5 linked regions of the Sus scrofa genome follow. The protein of the gene in region 5 interacts with the protein of the main gene of each other region in a biochemical or structural test. Links are inferred from orthologs where the notes say so. Each region holds a gene or a part of one and is shown on either strand. Other genes may lie near its edges. The genes, in order: STUB1, ACVRL1, SMURF2, MAPK1 and SMAD1.

Region 1 (4,748 bases), on a different chromosome or scaffold from region 5:
CATACCCAGCCCTGGCACCATCTGCACGGCCCCTGGAATGCACCATCCAGGCCGGTGAGGTCAGTGGTTGGCAGGCAGGGGCTGGGCCGGGCCAAGGGCCTGCAACCAATCCCTGTGCCTTTCTCACCCCATCCACTAGGTGCTGTATTTCCCTGACCGATGGTGGCACGCCACACTCAACCTTGACATCAGCGTCTTCATCTCTACGTTCCTCAGCTAACCCAGGGGGTGGCTGGTAAGCCGTTGCACACCAGCACACGCCCCCATAGTGCTCACAGATTTTATTACAGGGACAGTGGTGGCAGCAGCAACCTCGGCCTGGCCCACCCTCACCTGCCGCTTCTGGCACAGGAGGATGGGGGAGCCTCATGGCCCAGCAGAACTGGTGGGGCTGGGGCTGGGGATACCAGGGTGGGGATCCAGGGACACGAACTATGTACAGAGGCTAGGGGCTGCTGCCCCAAGGCCCTCCCAAGAAGCCAGGATACTGGGCAGGGTGGGTGAGGGGCCCACCCACTTGCCCTGCCTCAGTAGTCCTCCACCCAGCCATTCTCCGAGATGAACGCATCAATGACCTCCTTCATGGCCAGGTTGGGGATGAGCTGTTCCTGGGTCAGGGGGCTCCGAGTCACAGGGTCAAAGTGGCCCACGCGCTGCAGTGGCAACAGGATCAGAATGAGAAGATGCCCAGTGGGTGTGGGCCCTGCCCCCAGCGGCTACGGACCCTTACCTGCAGGTGCTCCTCAATGTCCTTGCGGTCATAGGTGATGCCACTGGGCGTGATGCACGGCTCCCGCATCAGCTCGAAGCTGATCTTGCCACACAGGTAGTCAGGGATGTCTCGCTTCTGCAGCACCCAAGCTCAGGTCAGGAGCGGGAAGGGGCACTGCCCTGGCTCCTGCTACCCACAGGGCCCAGGGAACAGGCAGCTTACCTTTCTCTTCTCATCCACCTGGGAGAAGAGCTCATCCATGTCTGCCAAGTACTTATCCTACAAAAAACCAGGCAGCTCCAGAGAAGCTTGAGCCCCTGTCGCCTTTCCCCAGGCACCCCGCCCACAAAGACCCAACAGGAGCCAGGGTCACCTCACATCACACACGTGCAAATACACACAGGACCCACACGTGGGCAGGGCACCCTCACATGCTTGGCCTCGATGCAGGCCTGCTGGGCCCGGATGTGGCCGTCATCCTCTTCACCCTCGTGGTTCCGCTGACACTCTTCCAGCTCCCTGGGGTGGACCACACAGCTGATCAGAGATGGGTCTGGCCAGAGGAGATCAGACTCCACCTTGGGCCGATTCAGGCCCTGTTCCCTCATCTCCTGCTTTCCCAGGCTGGTCCTCAATAAACGCTTATGTTCACGACTCAGAATGGTGACTTTTGCGAGTTCCCGTCATGGCTCAGTGGTTAATGAATCCGACTAGGAACCATGAGATTGCAGGTTTGAACCTCGGCCTTGCTCAGTGGGTTAACGATCCGACGTTGTCAAGAACTGGTGTAGGTCGCAGACAACGGCTCGGATCCCGCATTGCTGTGGCTCTGGCGTAGGCCGGCGGCTAGAGCTCCGATTGGACCCCTAGCCTGGGAACCTTCACATGATACAGGAGGGGCCCTAGAAATGGCGAAAAGACACGAAAACAAAAAAACAAGGAAAAAAAGAATGGTGACTTTGGGAGGTGGGGTGGAGCCCATGAACACCACAGCCCACCTCTCACGCTCAGCCACAATGAGTCGAGTGAGGTAAGAGTGCAGCTCGTTCTCCTGGTGGATGCGCCGCTCCTCGATGCTGTTCCAGCGTTTCTTCTTGGCAATGCGCAAAGCACTGGGGATGTCATCCCCAAAATTGAGCCGCTGCTCCTTGGCCAGGTTGTAGGCTGGGGGAACAAAGGATCCGGGTAACCCTCGAGCCAGTCCCCCCGCCTGGTCCCAGGCACCCTGGAACAGGCCAGCCAGCAAGCCCACCTCGCTGCAGGTTGGCAATAGCCTCATCATAGCTCTCCATCTCCAACTGGCACTGCCCCAGGAAGAAGTGTGCTTTCACAGACTGGCTGTCCAGTTCCAGGGCGCGCCGGCAGTCAGCCAGGGCTTGCTCGTGCTGCTGCATCTTCAGGTAGCACAGTGCCCGGTTGGTGTAATACACTGCCACCAAGGGATTCCGGGTCTGGGGACCAAGGCCGGACCAGCCAACATGAGGGAGTGAGTTCAGCCTGCCCTTTCTGTCCTAGCTTGAGACCCACGGCTGGAATCAAGACACTAGAGGTTTCTCAGCACCCAGGTCTCTGGGCGCGGAGGAAGGGTGGAGCCTACCTGAGCCCGCCCCCTCGACTCCAACGAGTCTTGCGAAGACAGGTTTCCCAGACTCCTGAAAATCCCCAGCTTTGGGCTTGGACCCCCAGCCCAGTGGGCTGCAAGCACCCTGAAGCTCCCACCCGCCACAGTTCTCTGACCACCAACCCTGGCTCGGGAGCCGTAGCCTTGGCCTCTCTGAGAGAAGATCACTCAGTCCTCAGAGCCGAAGTGCATCCCCTCCGAAAGTCCGGTAGGGGCGGCCAGACAGGGGCTCCGGGGAGGACGCGGGGCCGAAGCCGCGGCCCGGCCCGGCCCCTCCTCCGGCCCCGACGCCTGCCCCCTCCCGCGGCCCGGGCGCACTCACGATGGCGCGGCCGTAGCAGGCCGCCGCCTCCGGGTACTTGCGGCCCACGAAGAGCCGGTTGCCCTGCTCCTTTAGCTCCTGCGCGCTCGGGCTCTTCTCCGGGCTGCCGCCGCCGGCGCCCAGCCGCGCGCCGCTCTCCTTCTCCTCCTTGCCCTTCATGGCGCCGCGCGGCACGGCCTGGGCTCCGCTCCCAGGCTCCGCGCCCGGCCCGCCCAGCGCCCGCACCCCGAGCCCGCGATCCGCTCGGGCCCAGTCCTGCGCTCTGCCACCGGAACTTCCGGCCGTGCGGTTGGGCGGGGCCTCGCGTGCCCCCAACGCGCCGCGGGGGCGGGGTTGGCAGGGAGCGTGCGCTCGCGGCGACTCGACGCGCGGCGTCGGCAACCTGAGGAGAGCCGAGGTCGTCGGGGCGGAAGCCCACCCCGGCGCCCCGGCGCCCCGCCCCCGAAGCCCTGCCCCGGCGCGTGGACATGGCGGCGGCCCGCGGCCTTTGGGGCTGTGAGGACCCGAGCCTCTGGGCCGCCGTCCTGGGCCGCCACGGGGAAGTGCTCCGAGCGCGCGCGGGCCCCCAGGGGCGGCTGGAAGCCCTGGACCGATGGTAGGGTGATAGGGGCATCGGGTGGGCGGGGGACCCCCGTGGCCCGGAGTCGCCGTCACAGCTCTTCTCCAGGTATCGAGAGGCGTTGCCCGCAGCCATCGAGGGCCGGGAGGAGAAGCACGTGACTCGAGAAGAGCTGGGGCAGCTGCTGGCTTGGAAGCTGGCTGTGAGGAACTTCCCACTTGGGGGGCGGGGCCTCCTTCCGGGGCGGGGCGTAGCGGTGTGGGCGTGGGCGTGGCTCGCCCGGGGGCGGGCCCTCGCGCTGTGGGGCGGGGCCCCTAGCGAGGTCCAGCACCCGTGACCCCCACCCCGACTTGACCAGCGGGGCCGCTTCAGGCCGCGCCTGCATCAGCTCGTCAGCGCCAACGCCCCGGAGTTGGTGGTGCAGCACTCGGCTGCCGCCTTCCCCCTCCTGCCAGACATGCACGCCGCGGTCACGGAATTACGCGCCCTGCGGGGCGTGGGCCCGGCCACGGCCTCGGGTTAGTCGGGAGAGCCTGGCGCCCTGGCAGGGTCGCGGGCGGAACCTGGTCTGTTAGTACATTTGCCTGGGACATCGCCTGATGGCCACGTTCATGACACCAAGAGCTGTTGCGAATGGCAGCCCCGAAGGTGTCTTGAGGCTGGTGGGGCCTGAGTGTTGGCTGTTTGCTGCCCATAGCGGTCTTGGCTGCCGGAGCTCCCGAGGTGGCAGCTTTCATGTCTGAGGAGGCAGTGGCCGCGGTGCCCGGTCTGCCAGCCCTGCAGTACACCCTCAAGCACTACCTGCTGTACCTGAGCCGGGTGCAGGAGCGAGCCACAGCTCTGAGCCATGGTGAGGAGACTGCTGGCAGCGAGGGAGGGCATTCAGGACTCTGGTCAGGGTGGAGGGTGCAGAGCTTCCCAGCAGAGCAGGGTGACCTGGGCCCCAGACTCCCTGTTGCCCCTCCTTAGGCAGTGCCTCAGGGCTGTGGACCCCGCATCGTGTGGAGACAGCCCTGTGGACCTGGGCTATAGGGCAGAAGCTGTGCCCTGACCTGCTGCCCGACCTCGGTCCCAGCCCAGCCGCCCCCGAGGACTCCAGGCCAGCCAAGAAGCGCCGGACCCAGACCGACTGATTTGGCTGTGGCCCAGATCCTGCTCACCTGCTCTGTGACCTCAGGGCACAAGTCTCTGGGCCAGAGGCTGGCTGCTGTAGGAGCCCAATAAATGCTTGCTGAACTCACACCTGCCTGTGAGGCCCACAGTCCCTCCCCAGCCCGTCTGGCCCGTCTCTCACAGACGCAGCTCACGACAGGTGCAGAGAAGCAAGAGGGGAAGCCCAGGCGGCCCACGTGGAAGGAAGGGCCCTCGCAGTTTGCTCAGCAAGTTGAGAGGAGACCAGACCATCCCTCGGAGCCCTAGTACAGCCGCCTGACGCTGTGTAAAATATTTATTCATTCTCCAAAAAGGCTCAGACTGCAAGTCTTGGGGAAGAGGCCGGGGTAGGGTCTCCTCTGAGGTCACCCTTGGGGACCTC
Region 2 (3,993 bases), on a different chromosome or scaffold from region 5:
AGGGAGGGGCGGTGGGCAGACTTGGGTGGTAGGTGCATCCTGGGGCGTCAGGCCCAGAATGGCTGAGCTTCCAGTGTGTCTCCCAGGCAACCCCGTGAAGCCCTCTCGGGATCTGCTGGTGACCTGCACGTGTGAGAACCCATACTGCAAGGGGCCCACCTGCCAGGGGGCCTGGTGCACAGTAGTGCTGGTGCGGGAGGAGGGCGGCCACCCCCAGGAACATCGGGGCTGTGGGAACCTGCACCAGGAGCTCTGCAGGGGGCACCCCACTGAGTTCGTCAACCACTACTGCTGCTACAGCTCCCTCTGCAACCACAACGTGTCCCTGGCACTGGAGGGTACGTCCAGCTGCCCGCCTTCTCAGACTCTGCCCACCCTGCCCTGCTTGTCTCTCATGCTCTGGCCTGGAGGGCGGGGGAGGCAGGACTCTGGGATCTGACTGGCAGAGGGGCGGGGCGGGGGTGCCATCTGGCCTGCAGGGAGCTGGGCCTCAGTGTCCCCCCTCCGCCAGCCACCCAGACTCCTCCGGAGCAGCCACAAGCAGACAGCCAGCTGCCTCTGATCCTGGGCCCTGTGCTGGCCTTCCTGGTCCTGGTGGCCCTGGGTGCCCTGGGCCTGTGGCATGTCCGGCGGAGGCAGGAGAAGCAGCGGGGCCTAAACAGCGAGCTGGGCGAGTCCAGCCTCATCCTGAAGGCATCTGAGCAGGGGGACAGCATGTTGGGGGTACGGGCCTGGGGGAGCCTGGGACACAGGGTGGCGGTGGGAAGACGGGGGCCACAGAATCGGAGGGGGTACTGAATGGCAGGTAGCTGAGAAAGGCACGTGGCAGGCACGTAGAGATTTGATTGGGCGCTGGAAGGGAGGGGCTGGTGAATGAGGAGTGTGAAGAGAGACAGCAGGGGGCCCAGGCTGAGGAGGGAGAAATGGGTTGGGTGGATGAGGGCTGCCTCTCTCTCAGTGGCCTCTTGGTATTCCCAGGACCTCATGGACAGTGACTGCACCACGGGCAGTGGCTCAGGGCTCCCCTTCCTGGTACAGAGGACAGTGGCACGGCAGGTTGCCCTGGTGGAGTGTGTGGGTAAGGCTGGGGACCCAGAGCTCCCATGAGCTTGGAGGGGTGAGGGAGCTGCTGCCCTCCACGCTCACAGGCCAGGCCAGGGCCGGGTCAGAATGGGAATTCTGCTGGGCAGGGAGGGGGCTGGAGCAGGGTCAGCGCCAGACACTTCTGCAGGAACAAGAGGCACATGGGGGGGGGGCTGCCAGCTGTGTTTGGATCTGGATGAAATTAAACATAAACATAAGCATCAGAGGTTCTGCAGATGCAGTCCGTGCAGCAGCATAATGGGGGAGGGGGAGGGGCTCTTCCCGGCTTCGTGGGCTCTGCGCACCCAGTTATGTGACCCGCTCCCTCCTCTCTTGCCCTCGGGTCAGGAAAGGGCCGCTATGGCGAGGTGTGGCGGGGCCTGTGGCATGGCGAGAGTGTGGCGGTCAAGATCTTCTCCTCCAGGGATGAACAGTCCTGGTTCCGGGAGACTGAGATCTACAACACGGTGTTGCTCAGACACGACAACATCCTAGGCAAGCCCGGCGCGCTATGCCAGGCCCCCCTGTCACCCTCCTGCACTCAGGGCGGGACCATCACACCCCCTCCCCAATCTGGATACTGACTTACCCTTGAAGGACTCCCAGCCAGCCCTCAGCCCCAAACGCTGACTCCGGCTTCCTCTCTGACCTAAGCCAGACCAGCCTCCACACCACCCCATGGGTGGGTGGAGGATGCACCCTGACCTAGCGCATCCTCTGTCCCCAGCCCTGACTGGTTCATCTCCCTCATCCCCAGCCCCTTGGTGAGCGACCTGACCCTCCGCCCACAGGCTTTATCGCCTCGGACATGACGTCCCGCAACTCGAGCACGCAGCTGTGGCTCATCACGCACTACCACGAGCATGGCTCGCTCTACGACTTTCTGCAGAGGCAGACGCTGGAGCCGCAGCTGGCCCTGAGGCTAGCCGTGTCGGCGGCCTGCGGCCTGGCGCACCTGCACGTGGAGATCTTCGGCACGCAGGGCAAGCCGGCCATCGCCCACCGCGACCTCAAGAGCCGCAACGTGCTGGTCAAGAGCAACCTGCAGTGCTGCATCGCAGACCTGGGTGAGCGGGGAGGGGCGGGTCCTCAAGGGGGCGGGGCGTGGGGGGGGTCTGTGCGCGCTCCCTCTCGGTTCGGTCTTTGCCTGATTGGATGCCTGGCGTCGAGGAGGACGCTGATTGGCGCTTTAAAACCTACAGACGTGTGTGGTCTCATCGCACCTCCACAAGTTGCGTTAACACTCTTTTCAAGCCCAGACTCCTTCCGCCACACCAGCTGGGCTCCAGGAGTTGGGAGAAAGGGGGCAGGGAGCCAGCCACCTGGGTTCTCATTCCGGCTTCGCTGACTACATCGCTGCCCCTCACCAGGCCTTGGGGTTCAGCTCTGTGAAATGGGCATCATGGTGCCTGCCTCGCCTGCTCACCTCTCGCTGGGTTCTTGCACCCAGAGAGCGCTGCACAAGCGAAGTGAAACTGGGCTGTTCTGTTATTCTCCCTGGGGCTGCTGTCTCCCAGCCCCCCCTCAAGGCAGGTCTCCACGGGCTGCTCTGTGTCCCCACTTCCATCTCAACCTCACGCCCCGCCCCTCCCCCAGCCCTGCCTATGGGCTCGGGTGGGCGGCAGGAGTGACAGGCCTGGGTACCCACAGGCCTGGCTGTGATGCACTCCCAGGGTAGCGATTACCTGGACATCGGCAACAACCCGCGAGTGGGCACCAAGCGGTACATGGCCCCCGAGGTGCTGGAAGAGCAGATCCGCACTGACTGCTTTGAGTCCTACAAGTGGACGGACATCTGGGCCTTTGGCCTGGTGCTGTGGGAGATCGCCAGGCGGACCATTGTCAACGGTGAGGCTCCTGCACAGGGTGGGAAAAGGGGAATAGACAGGCAGGAGACGGCTTCCTGCCATGGCTGGTGCCCATGGCCGGAGGGGCTTGTGGTTAGACCTCCTGTGTTCTCTTTACTGCCACTCACCACTGGCTCAGCTGAGTGACTTTTTAAGGTTCATCTGAGTCTGATTCTGGCTGTGAAATCATGAGTAAGTGCTAATAACAGAAATATTAATAGCAGCTAACATGTATTGAGTTTAAATATGAGCCATATGCTATGCCGTATACATGTATTCTCTTATGGAATCGTCCTGTGTTGGCAGGGAGGTGGTATTGCTTAGCGGTTAAGAGTATGAGTTGGTGGAGTTCCGCTTGTGGCTCAGTGGTAACGAAACCGACTGGTATCCACGAGGACACAGGTTCTATCCCTGGCCTCCCTCAGTGGGATAAGGGTCCCATGTTGCTGTGAAGGCCAGTGTAGGTCTCAGATGCAGCTTGGATCTGGTTTTGCTGTGGCTGTGGTGCAGGCCGGTGGCTACAGCTCCAATTAGACCCCTAGCCTGGGAACCTCCATATGCCACAGGTGTGTCCCTAAAAAGATGAAAGAAGGCGAGAAAGAAAGAAAGAAAGAAAGAAGGAAGGAAGGAAAAACAGACATGGGTTGGTAATCAGACTGCCTAGGTTCAGTTCCTGATGTTGCCATCAACTGTGTGCAAGGTACTTAAACCTCTCTGCCTCAGTTTCCTAATTTGTAAAGTGAGAGTAAAAATAATTTATCGGAGTTTGCGTTGTGGCTCAGTAGGTTAAAGACCCAGCATTGTCTCCCTGAAGATGCAGATTTGATTGCTGGCCTCGCTCAGTGGGTTAAGGATTCTTTGTTGTTGTGAGCTGCAGCATAGGTCTCGGTGTGGCTCGGATCCTGCGTTGCTGTGGCTGTGCCGTAGGCCGGCAGCTGCAGCTCCAATTCAACCCCTAGCCTGGGAACTTCCATATGCCGCAGGTACAGCTGTAAAAAAAATAATAATAATTAATAATATTAATGGTAATGATAATAATCATTTCCAGTTATTGAAATAATCA
Region 3 (3,993 bases), on a different chromosome or scaffold from region 5:
TTTGAAAAAAACTGAGTTTTTTATTTTTATACTTTTAAGTGTTTCTTTTTTGGCCATGCCCAAGCATGTGAAAGTTCTTGGACCAGGGATCAAACCCATGCCAGAGCAGCGACCCAGGCCCTGCAGTGACAGTGCCAGATCCTTAACCCACTGCACCACAAGAGAACTGCTTAACATTTAAGTTTGGAGAGTTCTTTAGATGTTCGAAATAAAGTTTTATATCAGATATATTCTTTAGAAAGATCTTCTAGACTCCAACTTGTCTTTTCATTTTCTTTTTTTTTTTTTTTTTTTTTTTCTTTTTGCCTTTTCTAGGGCCGCACCTGCGGCATGTGGAGGTTCCCAGGATAGGGGTCCAATGGAGCTGTAGCTGCCGGCCTTCGCCAGAGCCATAGCAACTGGGATCTGAGCCATGTCTGTGGCCTACACCACAGCTCACAGCAACGCCGGATCCTTAACCCACTGAGCAAGGCCAGGGATCGAACCTGCAACCTCGTGGTTCCTAGTTGGATTCGTTAGCCACTGAGCCATGACGGGAACTCCTTTTCATTTTCTTAATAGTGTCTTTTGAAAGCAGAAAGTTTCTTTGAAATTTCAATGAAGTTCATTTTATCTATTTGTACTTTTATCATTGTGCTTTTGGGATCATATTTAAGAAATCTTTCCCTGACATCAGTCATATAAGTTTTCTAACTGTGTTTCAAAGATTTCGTGGCTTGAGATTTACATTAAGGTCTCTGATCCGTTTTGAGTTTTGTATTTGGTGTAAGGTATACACCAGTTCTTTTAGGGGAGTATAGATTAATATAGTTAAGGTGTATTTTAGGAGTTTTTATATATTTGTTTTGATTTATATATGTGTGTATACATACATATATATATATAACACCTTTATTATAATGTTTACAAGAGTAGTAAATAGTGATTTATAATTTTTATCAAAGCTGCTTTTTTCTCTGGATAGTTATTAGTTAAATGTTCCAGGTATAAAGTTTAGCATGGTATTTAAGAATCACGTATATAAAGTAAGTTGAGTGATTTGTTAGTGAACTGAAGGTTTTTTTTTTTTTTTTTTTTTATTTCCTCATAGCTATCATTACTCTTCACTTGTAAGTTAGGAGATTGTAGTCTTGTATGTAAAATTCCAGCTGAATCACTCAAGGTCTGCATAGATGTCCATAGTAAATTCTCTGACTTTTAATTTCCTGACTGTTTATTGGAATTAACTATTCATTATATCGTAAGAGTCTTAAAAATTCTTAGATGCAACTTATATTTTTGCCAAAGAATAAATATATTATTAGGCAGTGTGCCTTTTAAAAATTGTTATATTTCTGCTGTACTTGGGAGATTATTTACATGTATTTATGGTAAATCATATATGTGCAGTTAGAAGTCACTTCAGCACAGTAGACAATGTGAATGTACTTAATGCCACTTACTACAATGCTTAAAAATGGTTAAAATGTAAAGTTTATGTTACGTGTATTTTACCACAATAAGAAGTTGTCATAAAGCATTTAGACTTGTTTGTAAAGTTCTCATTTCTCTGTGCCAATAATTTCCACGTGACCTGTGGTCTAGACTGTAGCGTGCCTTGAAGGGGGCCCTGTCAAGCTGCCAGTTCAAAGTTTGTCTATTCCAGAGAGACGGACTCTAGATAACAGGGCCAGGCTTTGGCATGTGCCTGAATTTTAAAATGAGTGATGGTAAACTATGCGGAAGAAAATGGAAATGGTATTTGAGAAAGTTGTTCTCAGCAGCTGTATAAAGCTTTTGAGATAAAACTCTATTATCCAAGTCCATAAATTCTGAGAGATAAACTTTAGAATTAGTTTATTGTTGTCAAAAATGTCAGGCTAAGAATATAATAAGGCCTAGAATGATATAGCTAGACTTGGTTTAGAGTATGATGCTATTTTAAATATATGATTGCTGTCTTTTTTGTTTAAAATACTTTAGTAATATTTGTGTACTTTTAGTCGACAGAACCAGTTGAAAGACCAGCAGCAGCAGCAGGTGGTATCGTTATGTCCTGATGACACAGAGTGTCTGACAGTCCCACGGTACAAACGAGACCTGGTTCAGAAGCTAAAAATTCTGCGGCAAGAACTTTCCCAGCAACAGCCTCAGGCTGGCCATTGTCGCATTGAGGTTTCCAGGGAAGAGATTTTTGAGGTAAACTTTTTTTATAGTTAATTGAAGTGTAGTTGATTTGCAGTGTTCTGTCAATTTCTGCTATACAGCAAAGAGGTAAACTTCAAGTCTTACTCTAAAATAGAGAAAAAATTAAATTTCACTGATTTATTCTGTTTTCCAAGTATATTTTGGGGCACTTAGGTCTCTTTAGAATGGGAGAATTTTACTTCCTTTTTTTTTTTTTGGTTGTGCCCAATGCATGTGAAGTTCCCTGGTAAGGGACTGAACTTGTGCCACGGCAGCACCCCAAGCTGCTGCAAGACAGTGTTGGATCCTTAACCTACTGCACCACAAGGGAACTCCTAGAATGGAAGAATTTTCATTAATTTTTTTTAATTGAAGTATAGTTGATTTACAATGTTGTGTTAATTTCTGCGCTACTGCAAGATGATTCAATTACACATATACATACGTCCTTTTATTTAAATATTTTCCATTGTGATTTATCATAGGATATTGAATATAGCTCCCTATATAGTAGGACTTTGTTGTTCATCATTAATTTCTTTTTTAATTGTGGAGAATAAAGGCAATAATACTGGAGACATTTAATATAAGATAAACATATAAGTAAGAGGGAGTGTGAGATACTCTGTGCAGCTTGATCTATGTATTGCAAATATTTATTTGATTTGAATTTTAAAAGTCTACAATACTATCCATCCCTTATTTTCTGATTCTTCCAAAAGGTAAGGGACTCTTAAGTCAGAAAATCCCTTTGTTTCATTACTGTTGGACTACTTCCTTAATTTATTGAAAATCTTCCTTTCTAGTATATCCTTTATCTTTGGATTTTATAGCTCTAATAGCAAAGTTCTTACATAGTAAGTGGCAGAGGTCCAAGGCAGGGTTTCCCACTCATTAAGGGTTCTTAGGCAGTAGACGTTTGGGCGACTTTGTAATCCTTCTCCCAAAGGATCAACTTTTTTCTCTCAGAACAGTTCTGACCTTATTTGTAGTCCGTCATTTGTATTTTTAAAATAATACAAAGTTGTCAGTTTAATGAAGATTACATTAATGACTACTTATGTTTTCTGAAACTTCTTTTTCTTAACTTTACTTTCTACGGTGTCTGTGACCTAGAGGTTAATAAAAAAGTTTGGTCCTGCTATGAACTTCTGTTTTTTGATGTGAGTGGAATCATTGCTATGGTTCAGAGGACTTAAATATGGAGTTTTGCACTTAGTAGGCTTTTAATATAATATTTATCAAATGAATTGGTTCCAGTAGTTTTAAGCTATATCACATTTTGTTTTTAGAAGTTTGTTTAGATTTCAAACACTTGGAGTTTATCTGTTGATTTGATAAACAATTTCCACCTTATTTAAATAAACATATGTTTTGTAGGTGGAATGGGAGGGAGAGTTTAAGTAATAGGTTAAAGGCACCTAGTAATAATAGTGTATTAAATGTTTTTTTCAGGAATCATATCGGCAAGTCATGAAAATGAGACCAAAAGATCTCTGGAAGCGATTAATGATAAAATTTCGTGGAGAAGAAGGCCTTGACTACGGAGGAGTTGCCAGGTGAAGACTTGCTTCTCAGTAACTGATGTGTGGATCCTCATGTTCGCAAATTTAAGATATTTCCTGTGGCGTCGCTTTCTCATTGATACGTGTTTTCTAGCGTAATACTCCCTATTGTGTGCGATGTAAAGGATACCCGAATAGGTGTATTGCTAATGAGGTTAGGATGGTACTGCTGCCAGAAGAGTGCTTGTGATCTCCCCCGTGGACCGGGCAGTCCACTGAGACTTTCTCTGAAAACTCGTTGCAACCCTCTGGGGACTGTTTG
Region 4 (4,605 bases), on a different chromosome or scaffold from region 5:
ATGAGCTTCAGACTAGTAAACATTCTTATCAAATTAAAAAGAAAAAAAAACCTCTAAACTGGATTGTCATAAAACTAGTTTTTTGGTTTTTGTTTTTTTTTTTGTCTTTTTGCCATTTCTTGGGCTGCTTCCGCAGCATATGGAGGTTCCCAGGCTAGGGGTCCAATCAGAGCTGTAGCCCCTGGCCTATGCCAGAGCCACAGCAATGCAGATTCCGAGCCACGTCTGCAACCTGCACTACAGCTCACAGCAATGCCGGATCCTTAACCCACTGAGCAAGGCCAGGGATCGAACCCACAACTTCATGGTTCCTAGTCAGATTTGTTAACCACTGAGCCACGATGGGAACTCCAAAACTAGTTCTTTTCAGAGTCTATCTTAGGTTCTAATTTATCTTCTTTGGAAGGGCTGAAGGACATGACAGGCAATTCTGAACACTTCATAGAGACCTTTACTGGCACACTTACCAGCAGATACAACAGCAATCAGATGTAGGACACAAGTGATGCTGTGGGGCATTACTTTCTCTCCATTGCATTCTAGGACTGCATTTCTTTTAGGCCTCAACTAATTTAATTTCGCTTTTGGCTCCTTAGCCTCTGAATTCACGTTAATTCTCAGCTGTATACTTTGAAGCATTTTGATCTTGAAAAGAATGAAAATATTCAAGATTCAATGAAAGTCTTTTTCTTTTTTTTTAAAGTTTATGTAGTCTTTGAACCTAGCTAATGTAACTGGTAAATCATGCCCTCTATGGCCTTTCTGAAATCAAGATCATTTAAAGTTGAATATATTTCTGAAATAGATTTGCTTATGAGTAAGACAGACTAGAATTCTAAAATTATTAATAACATTATTTAAGAAAAATAGGATGTAATGAAAAGAGCTGCAGCAACTGAAGTTAAATTCTCAGTCTACAATCTCAAGTCTGACTCTTTAGTTGAATGACCTTAGGAATTGGCTTTACCAGAAATACTTTCTCATCTGAAAGATCTCACAGCCCTTCCCTCCCACCAGCTGACTATTCAAATAAAATGAGATAATATATCTAGCACAGTACCTGCCACGCAGCATTCAGTATTAGTTTTTTTCCTTCGTTCAACACAAAAGACACTCACAAGATTTAGGTATAAGGGAGTCCACACCTGCACAAGTCTTCATCAGCACAAGACAGCTAGTTAGTACTAATTTAAAAAAAAAAAAAAAACGAAAAAAAAACACCGTCACCTCCACTCCACAAACGTTTCTGAGGGATCTGCATCAAGACGAGGGAACCAGCATGTGACACTGCAAGAACTCCACCAGGACTGCATACATATTGACCACTAAAGCATTGACAGTAAAAGTCCACAATAATTGTGCTAAAACGTCTGGATGCCTTTATGCTGGTAATAGAGTTCAAGCGAGATAAAGGAAAAAGAAGCCAATTTAGGCCCAACTCCAAATGACTCCTTAATAAATCAAGAGAGGGATGCTGGTTTATCTTTCCTAAAACGCGGACAGTACGATATTAAAACCCATTTAAAAACTTCATCAAGAATGAAATATGCCAAAACAAACATTGACGCCACTAATGCTTTTTCAAAAGCCTGCGCAGGAGAGCACCGCTGGCACCACCGAAGGTATCTGATGAAAGCCGTGCGTGGAAAACGCAGGCGAGGGAAGGAAAATAACAGACGGTCATTTCGGGGCGGGGCACACACGCCGCGGCCGCCGCCGCCAGCATCTGAAGGAATTCGCGGCTTCCCACCCCGGCGCGAAGAGCAGGCCGCGCGGCGCACACCCAGGCCGGGGAGGGGGGCGGGGGGGGCGGAGGGGGCCTAGGTTCCCGGGCCGGGGTCCTGGATCCAGTGTCCACCCCCCGCCCCCTCCCCGCGCCGAGCAACGCCCCAGCCCGACCAGCCCCGCCCCGACCGAGGCCCCGCTGCGGTTGGCGGCGCAGCGGGCCTGGGTCGGAGGTCGGAGGTCCGGGTTGGGGTAGGGGCTGGGTCCGCGTCCGGGGTCGGGGTCAGGGTCGGGGTCCGGAGAGCAAGCGGGGCAGCAGCGGTGAGCCCGGCTGGGGGGGAGGGGAGGGCGGCGGGCGCGGCCAGGCCGCGGGGCATGGACACTCACCACACCATGCCGTAGGCGCCCTCGCCGATGTAGGAGAGGTTGGTGTAGCGCGGCCCCACGTCGAACACCTGCCCGCGGACCATCTCGGGGCCCGCGCCCGCCGCCGCCGCCGCCATGTTGGCTGCCGGGCCGCCGCCGCCGCCGCCGCACTGGGCTCGATGCTCCGCGGCCGCTGCTCGGCCCACGCTGCACCAACGGGGAGACCGCGCCCCAGCCGCTGCAGCCGCCGCCGCTGGCCGGGAAGAATCAGTGAGGGACCCGCTCGGGAGAGGTAGATAGCCACCGACCGCTCGTACCGACTGCCCGCCTGACTGACTGACGGGCGGGCCGGCGGGCGGAGGGAGGGGCGCGCGCCGAGGAGGGCGCCGGGGCAGGGCCGTAGGCGTGAGCGCGGATTGGCTCCCGCGGCCTGGGGGCAGGGCTGCGCGGCCGGCGGAAGAGGCGCGTTGGGGGCGGAGCACTGCAGCGGCGGGGCGGGGCGCGGTCACGTGCGCTCGCGGGAGGCGGCGGGGAAACGCTGAGGACTCCGAGGCGGGGCGAGCTTGCGGGGCCGAACGGGCGGGGCAGCGGGCCGAGAGAAGCTCCGGGCGGCTCCCTCCGAGTAGGAGCGCGACCGGGGCGGATTCCCCCCGCCCCCGCGCGCCGAGCCAGGTTTGTGAGAGTCCGGGGCCCATACAGATTAGAGGCCTCGAGACCCGCACAGAAGCCGGAAGGGTGACCGAGACCGAGAGAGATATTTGCATCCTGAGAAAGTGTGAAACCCAGAGTGGGAGGCGGAGACAAGAAGCCCGGACGCGGCCCGCTCCGGCAGAGGCTCGTTCAACAAGTGTCACCGCGTTCCTGCGCGTCCACCCTCCTCGAAGCTACCCTCCAGGAGATGATGGATGGACGGTCGATGGATCTGAAGGAAGACTCAAGTTGTCTGCGAAGTACTGCGAAGAAAAGGAGAGCAGAGTAAGGGGTTCGGGAGTAGTGGGTTGAGACCCTGAGAAAAACACTGAGATTCAGAGACTGGCACCCAAGTTGGTACAGATGGGCAGGATCTTACCCAGGTAGAAACGCGAAAAAAACAAGTATTAACATCTAGAGAAAACGAGTTAGACGCACTGAGGTTCAGAGATTGTCACAAAAATGGAAAAGAATGTATATATGTATAACTGAATCACTTTGCTGTATAGCAGAAATGAACACAACATAAATCAACTGTAACTTTAATAGTCACAAACACCAGAGGTTGAAAATAAAAGGCAGAATCTTGAAGCAGGTGAATTCGATAAACAGCTAAGACAATGAGACAGAAGATGATCCAGCCCTTGCTTCTGAGCCACTTCATTGGAGTCACCTGCGTCGTCTTGGAAAGGGGACTAAGGGTGGGAAATTCTGCGTCCTGATTGTCTGACACTGTGATCCAGAAAGCCTGGACTTCCAGTCATCAACAAAGATCAACTAGACAGTCTTGAAGATGAATAAGCAAAAGAGAAAAAAATCCTCTGGGGAAAAAAAAAAACATGTGGCATATGAGAAAATAAATAAAGGGCTACAGCCAAAAAGTACTCTTTTGAAATATGTTTAGTCCATAAAGTAGAACCCAACACCTGATTCTTATTCCTTTTTTTTTTTTTTTTTTTTTTTTGTCTTTTTGCCTTTTCTAGGGCCACTTCCCACGGCATGTGGAGGTTCCCAGGCTAGGGGTCTAATCAGAGCTGTAGCCACCGGCCTATGCCAAAGCCACAGCAATGCAGGATCCTTAACCCACTGAGCAAGGCCAGGGATCAAACCCTCAACCTCAGGGTTCCTAGTCAGATTTGTTAACCACTGAGCCATGACAGGAACTCCCTGATTCTTGATTAAAAGAAGAACTTGCATCTTTTAAAGGACAGGCCAAGATAAATAGAGGGTACCATGAAATTAAAACCACAATAGCCAAAGTAAAAGCAATGGTTGGAGCTGTAATAAGCAGACTTAACAGTGTAGAAGAGCAAGTCAGCAGGATAGGAGACGACTATGAGAAAAAGCTGGTGATGAAATTCTTTAAGAAGAAAATGTACAAGAGAACAAACACCACAAAGTCAAACTACAGGCACCCCCTCCCCAAAGAAGACAGAGCAAATCACTTAGAGGCAATAACTTACAGTAAAAGAAAACCTGCCTTAATGTCTAAAAAGATCTGTGGTGTTGGAGTTCCCTGGTAGCCTAGCAGTTAAGGACCTGGCATTGTCACTGCTGCAGCTCAGGTCACTGCTGCAGCAAAGGTTTAATCTCTGGCCTGGGAGCTTTTGTATGCTGCGGGTGCAACCAAAAGGATCTAGGATGGACATGGAAAATTGAGTTCTCTGAATCCAGAAAAAATAAATAAGCAGAAAACTTCAAGACATGATCTGGAAAAGTTCGGAAACGTCAGCAATAAAGAACAAGCACAATGTATAATCAGGACAAAGAGATTGTTTATTTAAAAAGCTAAAAACTGGGAGTTCCTGTGGCTCAGTGGGTTAT
Region 5 (4,650 bases):
ACGACCTAATGGAAAGCTATTTAGACAATGCAGACTGAACAGCCCTTCACGTACCTTCAGTTTTTTTCAGAAATTCAGAGTTCTGTAAGCCTTTCCCCTTTTTTAGAAACCCTAGCGTTCCTTGTCAGTTCAGCCTTTCCACCATAAACAAAATACATGTACCACCCATATCTGAAGGATAACGCCAGACTCCTGCTTAGCTGCCCCTGTAATACGGTTTAATTATGATGACTGAACTAATAGGCTGACATCATAGACTTTTACAGGCTGACCCCATGTCATCCTGATGTATCATTTTGCACCAGTTCAGTGCTGTAAATCAATTTAAGATCTCAAGCAGGTTGAAAAGGCTGGTAATGATGCTTTCTCTGCCGTCTCTGGAGACGCTACATTATACACAACTTACATTATTTATAAAGCCTCAATGATGCCTCCATTAGCCTTGTAAGACTACACAAATGAGATCTTTTATACACACACAACTTGGCCTTGATTATGTAGGCGACTGCAGCTTAAATATACTCATCTAATTACACTCAAGTTTATTCTTTTTCCAATCTAACCAAGTTACTAAACCCAGAATTACTAGAAATCAAAATTACAAACTGCAATTTAGTTTTCAACTAATAAATGTATTGGGGAAAACGAGGCTTACCTGCTCTTAACGCTTTAATGAACTTGGAAAAAATAAATAAATGCCAAGAGGTGTAAGAGCGTAACATTTTTAACCGCCTAAAAACTATCATTTCTCTAAAATGCAAAGGTCATCAGCTCTTCGAAGGTACAAAACCAAAGGATACTGCAAGAAGGAAAAATGTATTTAGTTACATACCTATGGTTGGAAGGGTCAAAACTAAATCAAGGACAAATCCCTACCCTCAGAAGACACCCGATCCTGCCCGGATCCTCCAGAGACTCTGGCATCACCCACCTCTAGAAAATCATCTCCCACGACCCTGGTTACAGTTTCCTAAGAATGGCAATACTACACAAATGTACACCACCTGCACAGAAATATCAAGTAACTGCAAATGCAAAGAGGGAGGGAGGACAGAGGACAAATACTTAAATCAGCACAGCAGATTTAGGCCTGGCACCTCCATCAGAATAACACTGATGCAAAATATTTATACTAACTGAAAATCCTGGGGCGGTGAACATTGATTCTGCCTCAATTCTTCTGAAATCCTGGTTCCAAGACCGCTCACCTACCGCCAATAAAGTGCAAAGGAGTAATTAGAAACAAGACGAAAAATCAACATGGGCAGAAGACAGTTTTCTCACTGTGTTCCTGAATGTGGGCACGTCATCCACGACAGCCAAGGAGAGCGAGATATGCTCTGAAATAAAGGCATTCTGCGATCGAGCTAATCGCGAAGAGTTTCAGCAACGCAAAGGCATACAGAGCTCAGGCAACTTCTGGGATCATTCCATAGACTTTGAAACTTCAGCTGCAATGGCAAAAGAACCTCAGCGGAAAGAAAAAGGCCGGCTGTCAGAGCTCTCACGACAATGGTGCTTTCTCAGGAGACAGTTCTGAGACGCTCCTCGATCTGCAGAAGGGAAAGCGCCTTACTGGGGATCTTGCACGGTGCATTTAAACATCGTCCACGCCTCAAAATAAACAAAAGCCGCAGCTACTGGAGTTGTAAGATCCGGCAGGCATCTGTTCCTCCTCCCTTCCCAAAGTACATCAAGGAAACGCTCTCCCTGGGAAGCCTTCATATGTATTAAGCAACTAGAAAAACAAGCCCACGTCTGTCTCTCTCACACCCACCACCCCCACCTTCCTGCAGAAACAACCCCGAGAAACACTAACAAAGACCATGCGCAGAGTAAATGAACACTTGTTCCACGGCGAACTCACAAATACACATGCAGTGAGGCAATCAAATCCGGGAAAGGGAAAGGAATGAGACGACACTTGGAGACTCGGGGCGCGGGGGGGGGGGGGGGGTAGGCGGAAGAGAAAAAAAAAAATTACGTGCAGCCAAACCTTTGACTAAATTAGAGAGAATTTAGGTGAGAACTTTCCTTGACCTCGACCCTCAAGAGGCTGGCCGGGGCAGAAGAGGGAGCCCGGCCCGAAGCCGGAGGGACGCAGGGCACCGGGTGCCCCCTCGCGCGAGCCCCACTTCGCGGAAAGGACAGCGCCCGCGGCCGCCCTCCGACTCCCGCAGGGGTCGCCCGGCCGGCGCGGGACACAATGGGCCCGGCGGGCCGCGCCGACGGCTCAGGCCCGGCTGCAGGAAGGGAAAGGGAAACGGGCGGAGGGGGGAGGGTGGCCGCCGAGGGCCGGCCGCGGGCAGGGATCGGGGCGAGGCTGGGGGCCAAGGGACGCGGCGTCCCCGCCGGGGACCCAACAAAGACGCAGGGGGCACTCCGGCCCAAGCCCAGCCTGGCTGGCGGAGCGCGAGGGGAGAGAAGGTGGCAGGTTGGTTCCCTAGAGCTGCCGGGAGGCGCCATCATGGGGGGGGGGGGTGCCGGTCCGCCCCACGCGGGGAAGAGCCCCCTCTCCGCCTCAACCGCACCACTGGCCCGGTGCACGACCGCGGCCACCCGGCTGGCCCGCGCCCGCCCCAACCCGAGGCGGTGGCGGCGGCGCTGGAAAGTCCGCGGGGCGCCGAAGGGAGGGCGGGGACGCGGCGGAGGAGAAAGTTGGGTTCGGGTCTGTTTCGTTTTACCGGGTTGGCTGCGCGCCCGTCCGCGCGGGCGCACGAGGTGGCCGGGCGAGCGGGGTCCCCCGCGGCCCCGGTCCGGCCGGCCGGGCGCTGCGCTCGCAGGGTCCCTCCCCGCGCCTCGGCTCGGGCTCAGCGGCTCGGCCTCTCCTTCCTCCTCCCGCCCGCCCGCTCGCTCGCTTGCTCCGGGAGCTTGGATTGATCTGGTCGCGCTGGCGTCAGGGAGTCGGAGCCGCCCAGCCTCCACTCCTCCGCTGCCAATACCGGGCGCACTCGCCCTCCCGCTCCCTCGCTCGCTCACACGCGCACCCGCGCGCGCCGCCGCCGCCGCCGCGCGACCAGGGATCCTCTCCAAATTCCCGGCCCCGCCAGCGCGAGCGCCGGGCCCGCGCCGCCTCCCCCGCCCACCGCCCCGCTGATTCCTAGGAATCGAAACGGCTGTCCCTGCCTCCTCTGGTCCCCGTGAAGCCAACTCAGCCTTACCTGCAAGGGAAGTTCCGCGTTCTATGTTTATTTTCCGAAACATTTGGCCACCCCGCCCACCGAATCGCATTTTAAACATAGAGTGCATTTTTGATCATCACCTTTCGAGCCTCGCCTTTTAGGTCTAGTTTTCCTTGCCCCTCACTCCTCAAAGATTTGCAAGCCCCAGAAGTTGCACGTACTGAAAACTGGATAACCTAGTAACTATTTCTTGTACTTAGCCCAAACCTTGAATCAATACATGTGTTTGATGCCAGTTTCAGGATCTAGAGATTCCAGTAGTTAACGTCTTTGCTCCAAATGACAGATGCCGCAACAGAACTCTCAATTTTTTGATCCAGGTTCTGCCACCTTTTGGTTGACACCAACTTCCCAAAATAAAACTAAACTAGCTCCCATCCACCTGATCTGCACAGACATTAAAAATGTCTGTTTATGAGAGTTTTTTCTTCTCTTAGCCGGCTCTCTAGAAGCTGGCCTGAAATCTTGGATGATTAGGGTAAGGTTATGTTTAGAGAATAATGATTCTGAGGAGTAAATTTACGTGTTCCAAAAGAACTATTACCATCATTTTTTTTAAGTCAAATTAATGGTATTCTCCAATTGTCATGTACTTTACATGTGCACATTCCATTTTAAATTCTTACTTATTAACCATCTTATTGCTACATCCCATGTTTAATCATTCAAAAGAAATGCAACAGGTCCCCCCAAATACATAAAATACTGTTTATATATAGTCAGACTATGTCTGCTAATTTCTTCGTTCAATTATTTGAGCACTTACAGGTCAATTCTTGGGCCTTGTCTTGTTTCCCCTAAGAACAGCATTTGACAGTTAATTCATTCTCTACCCCTGGCAGCAACAGTTGCAATGAGCCTTGTGAAATGCCACTCCAAACAGGTCACTACTGTGCTCAAACCCTCCTTTGATAAATAGAATGTGCTGTATGCACACAATGGAACACATTCAGTCATAAAAAGGAATGAAGTTCTGACATTCTACGTGGATGAAACTTGCAAACCCTATGCTAAGTGAAAGAAGCTAGACAAAAACCCCACAGACTGTAAGCTTCCATTTATATAAAATATAAATGGAGTTCCCGTAGTTGCTCAGTGATTAATGAAACCGACTATTAACCATGAGGTTTCAGGTTTGATCCCTGGCCTCCATCAGTGGGTTAAGGATCCGGAGTTGCGGTGAGATGTGGTGTAGGTTACAGACGAAGCTCGGGTCCCACATTGCTGTGGCTGTGGCGTAGGCCAGCAGCTGTAGCTCGGATTGGACCCCTAGCCTGGAAACCTCCATATGCCTCGAGTGCAGTGTTAAAAAGACAAAAAAATAAAATATCCAGAATAGGCAAATCTATAGAGACAGAATGGTGGTTGTCTATGTTTGGGAGAATAAGGAGCGGGAACGTGACCGCTAAAGGTTATGGATTTTGGGGGGGGGGTGTGTGACAAAAATGTTCTAAAATTAGTTTGTGGT

The links.
Region 1: the proteins of SMAD1 (region 5) and STUB1 form a complex in vitro, tested with the Homo sapiens proteins (3 studies listed by BioGRID, with this or other methods). The link is inferred for Sus scrofa from reciprocal best matches to the Homo sapiens genes SMAD1 and STUB1.
Region 2: of the proteins of SMAD1 (region 5) and ACVRL1, one has a biochemical effect on the other in vitro, tested with the Homo sapiens proteins (2 studies listed by BioGRID). The link is inferred for Sus scrofa from reciprocal best matches to the Homo sapiens genes SMAD1 and ACVRL1.
Region 3: the proteins of SMAD1 (region 5) and SMURF2 form a complex in vitro, tested with the Homo sapiens proteins (2 studies listed by BioGRID and IntAct, with this or other methods). The link is inferred for Sus scrofa from reciprocal best matches to the Homo sapiens genes SMAD1 and SMURF2.
Region 4: of the proteins of SMAD1 (region 5) and MAPK1, one has a biochemical effect on the other in vitro, tested with the Homo sapiens proteins (3 studies listed by BioGRID). The link is inferred for Sus scrofa from reciprocal best matches to the Homo sapiens genes SMAD1 and MAPK1.

Annotation. Positions count from the first base shown.
Region 1 is NC_010445.4:41,092,248-41,096,995, forward strand, and holds STUB1 (E3 ubiquitin-protein ligase CHIP), read right to left. Parts: upstream 2,935-4,748; 5' UTR 2,815-2,934; coding exon 2,656-2,814; intron 2,164-2,655; coding exon 1,965-2,163; intron 1,877-1,964; coding exon 1,711-1,876; intron 1,374-1,710; exon of another isoform or gene 1,232-1,373; coding exon 1,144-1,231; intron 992-1,143; coding exon 935-991; intron 848-934; coding exon 731-847; intron 654-730; coding exon 528-653; 3' UTR 267-527; downstream 1-266. Other genes in the region: JMJD8 (jmjC domain-containing protein 8), read left to right, coding at 1-59, 140-220; uncharacterized protein LOC100524737, read left to right, coding at 3,123-3,250, 3,323-3,416, 3,573-3,732, 3,912-4,064, 4,184-4,347. UniProt on the Homo sapiens protein: E3 ubiquitin-protein ligase which targets misfolded chaperone substrates towards proteasomal degradation.
Region 2 is NC_010447.5:17,273,854-17,277,846, forward strand, and holds part of ACVRL1 (serine/threonine-protein kinase receptor R3), read left to right. Parts: intron 1-86; coding exon 87-338; intron 339-511; coding exon 512-723; intron 724-978; coding exon 979-1,078; intron 1,079-1,431; coding exon 1,432-1,578; intron 1,579-1,874; coding exon 1,875-2,150; intron 2,151-2,733; coding exon 2,734-2,931; intron 2,932-3,993. UniProt on the Homo sapiens protein: Type I receptor for TGF-beta family ligands BMP9/GDF2 and BMP10 and important regulator of normal blood vessel development. On ligand binding, forms a receptor complex consisting of two type II and two type I transmembrane serine/threonine kinases.
Region 3 is NC_010454.4:14,469,308-14,473,300, forward strand, and holds part of SMURF2 (E3 ubiquitin-protein ligase SMURF2), read left to right. Parts: intron 1-1,982; coding exon 1,983-2,178; intron 2,179-3,621; coding exon 3,622-3,725; intron 3,726-3,993. UniProt on the Homo sapiens protein: E3 ubiquitin-protein ligase which accepts ubiquitin from an E2 ubiquitin-conjugating enzyme in the form of a thioester and then directly transfers the ubiquitin to targeted substrates.
Region 4 is NC_010456.5:50,081,353-50,085,957, reverse strand, and holds the start of MAPK1 (mitogen-activated protein kinase 1), read right to left. Parts: upstream 2,880-4,605; 5' UTR 2,856-2,879; coding exon 2,113-2,855; intron 1-2,112. UniProt on the Homo sapiens protein: Serine/threonine kinase which acts as an essential component of the MAP kinase signal transduction pathway. MAPK1/ERK2 and MAPK3/ERK1 are the 2 MAPKs which play an important role in the MAPK/ERK cascade.
Region 5 is NC_010450.4:82,985,042-82,989,691, forward strand, and holds the start of SMAD1 (mothers against decapentaplegic homolog 1), read right to left. Parts: upstream 2,869-4,650; 5' UTR 2,685-2,868; intron 2,013-2,684; exon of another isoform or gene 1,997-2,012; intron 1,929-1,996; exon of another isoform or gene 1,138-1,928; intron 1-1,137. UniProt on the Homo sapiens protein: Transcriptional modulator that plays a role in various cellular processes, including embryonic development, cell differentiation, and tissue homeostasis.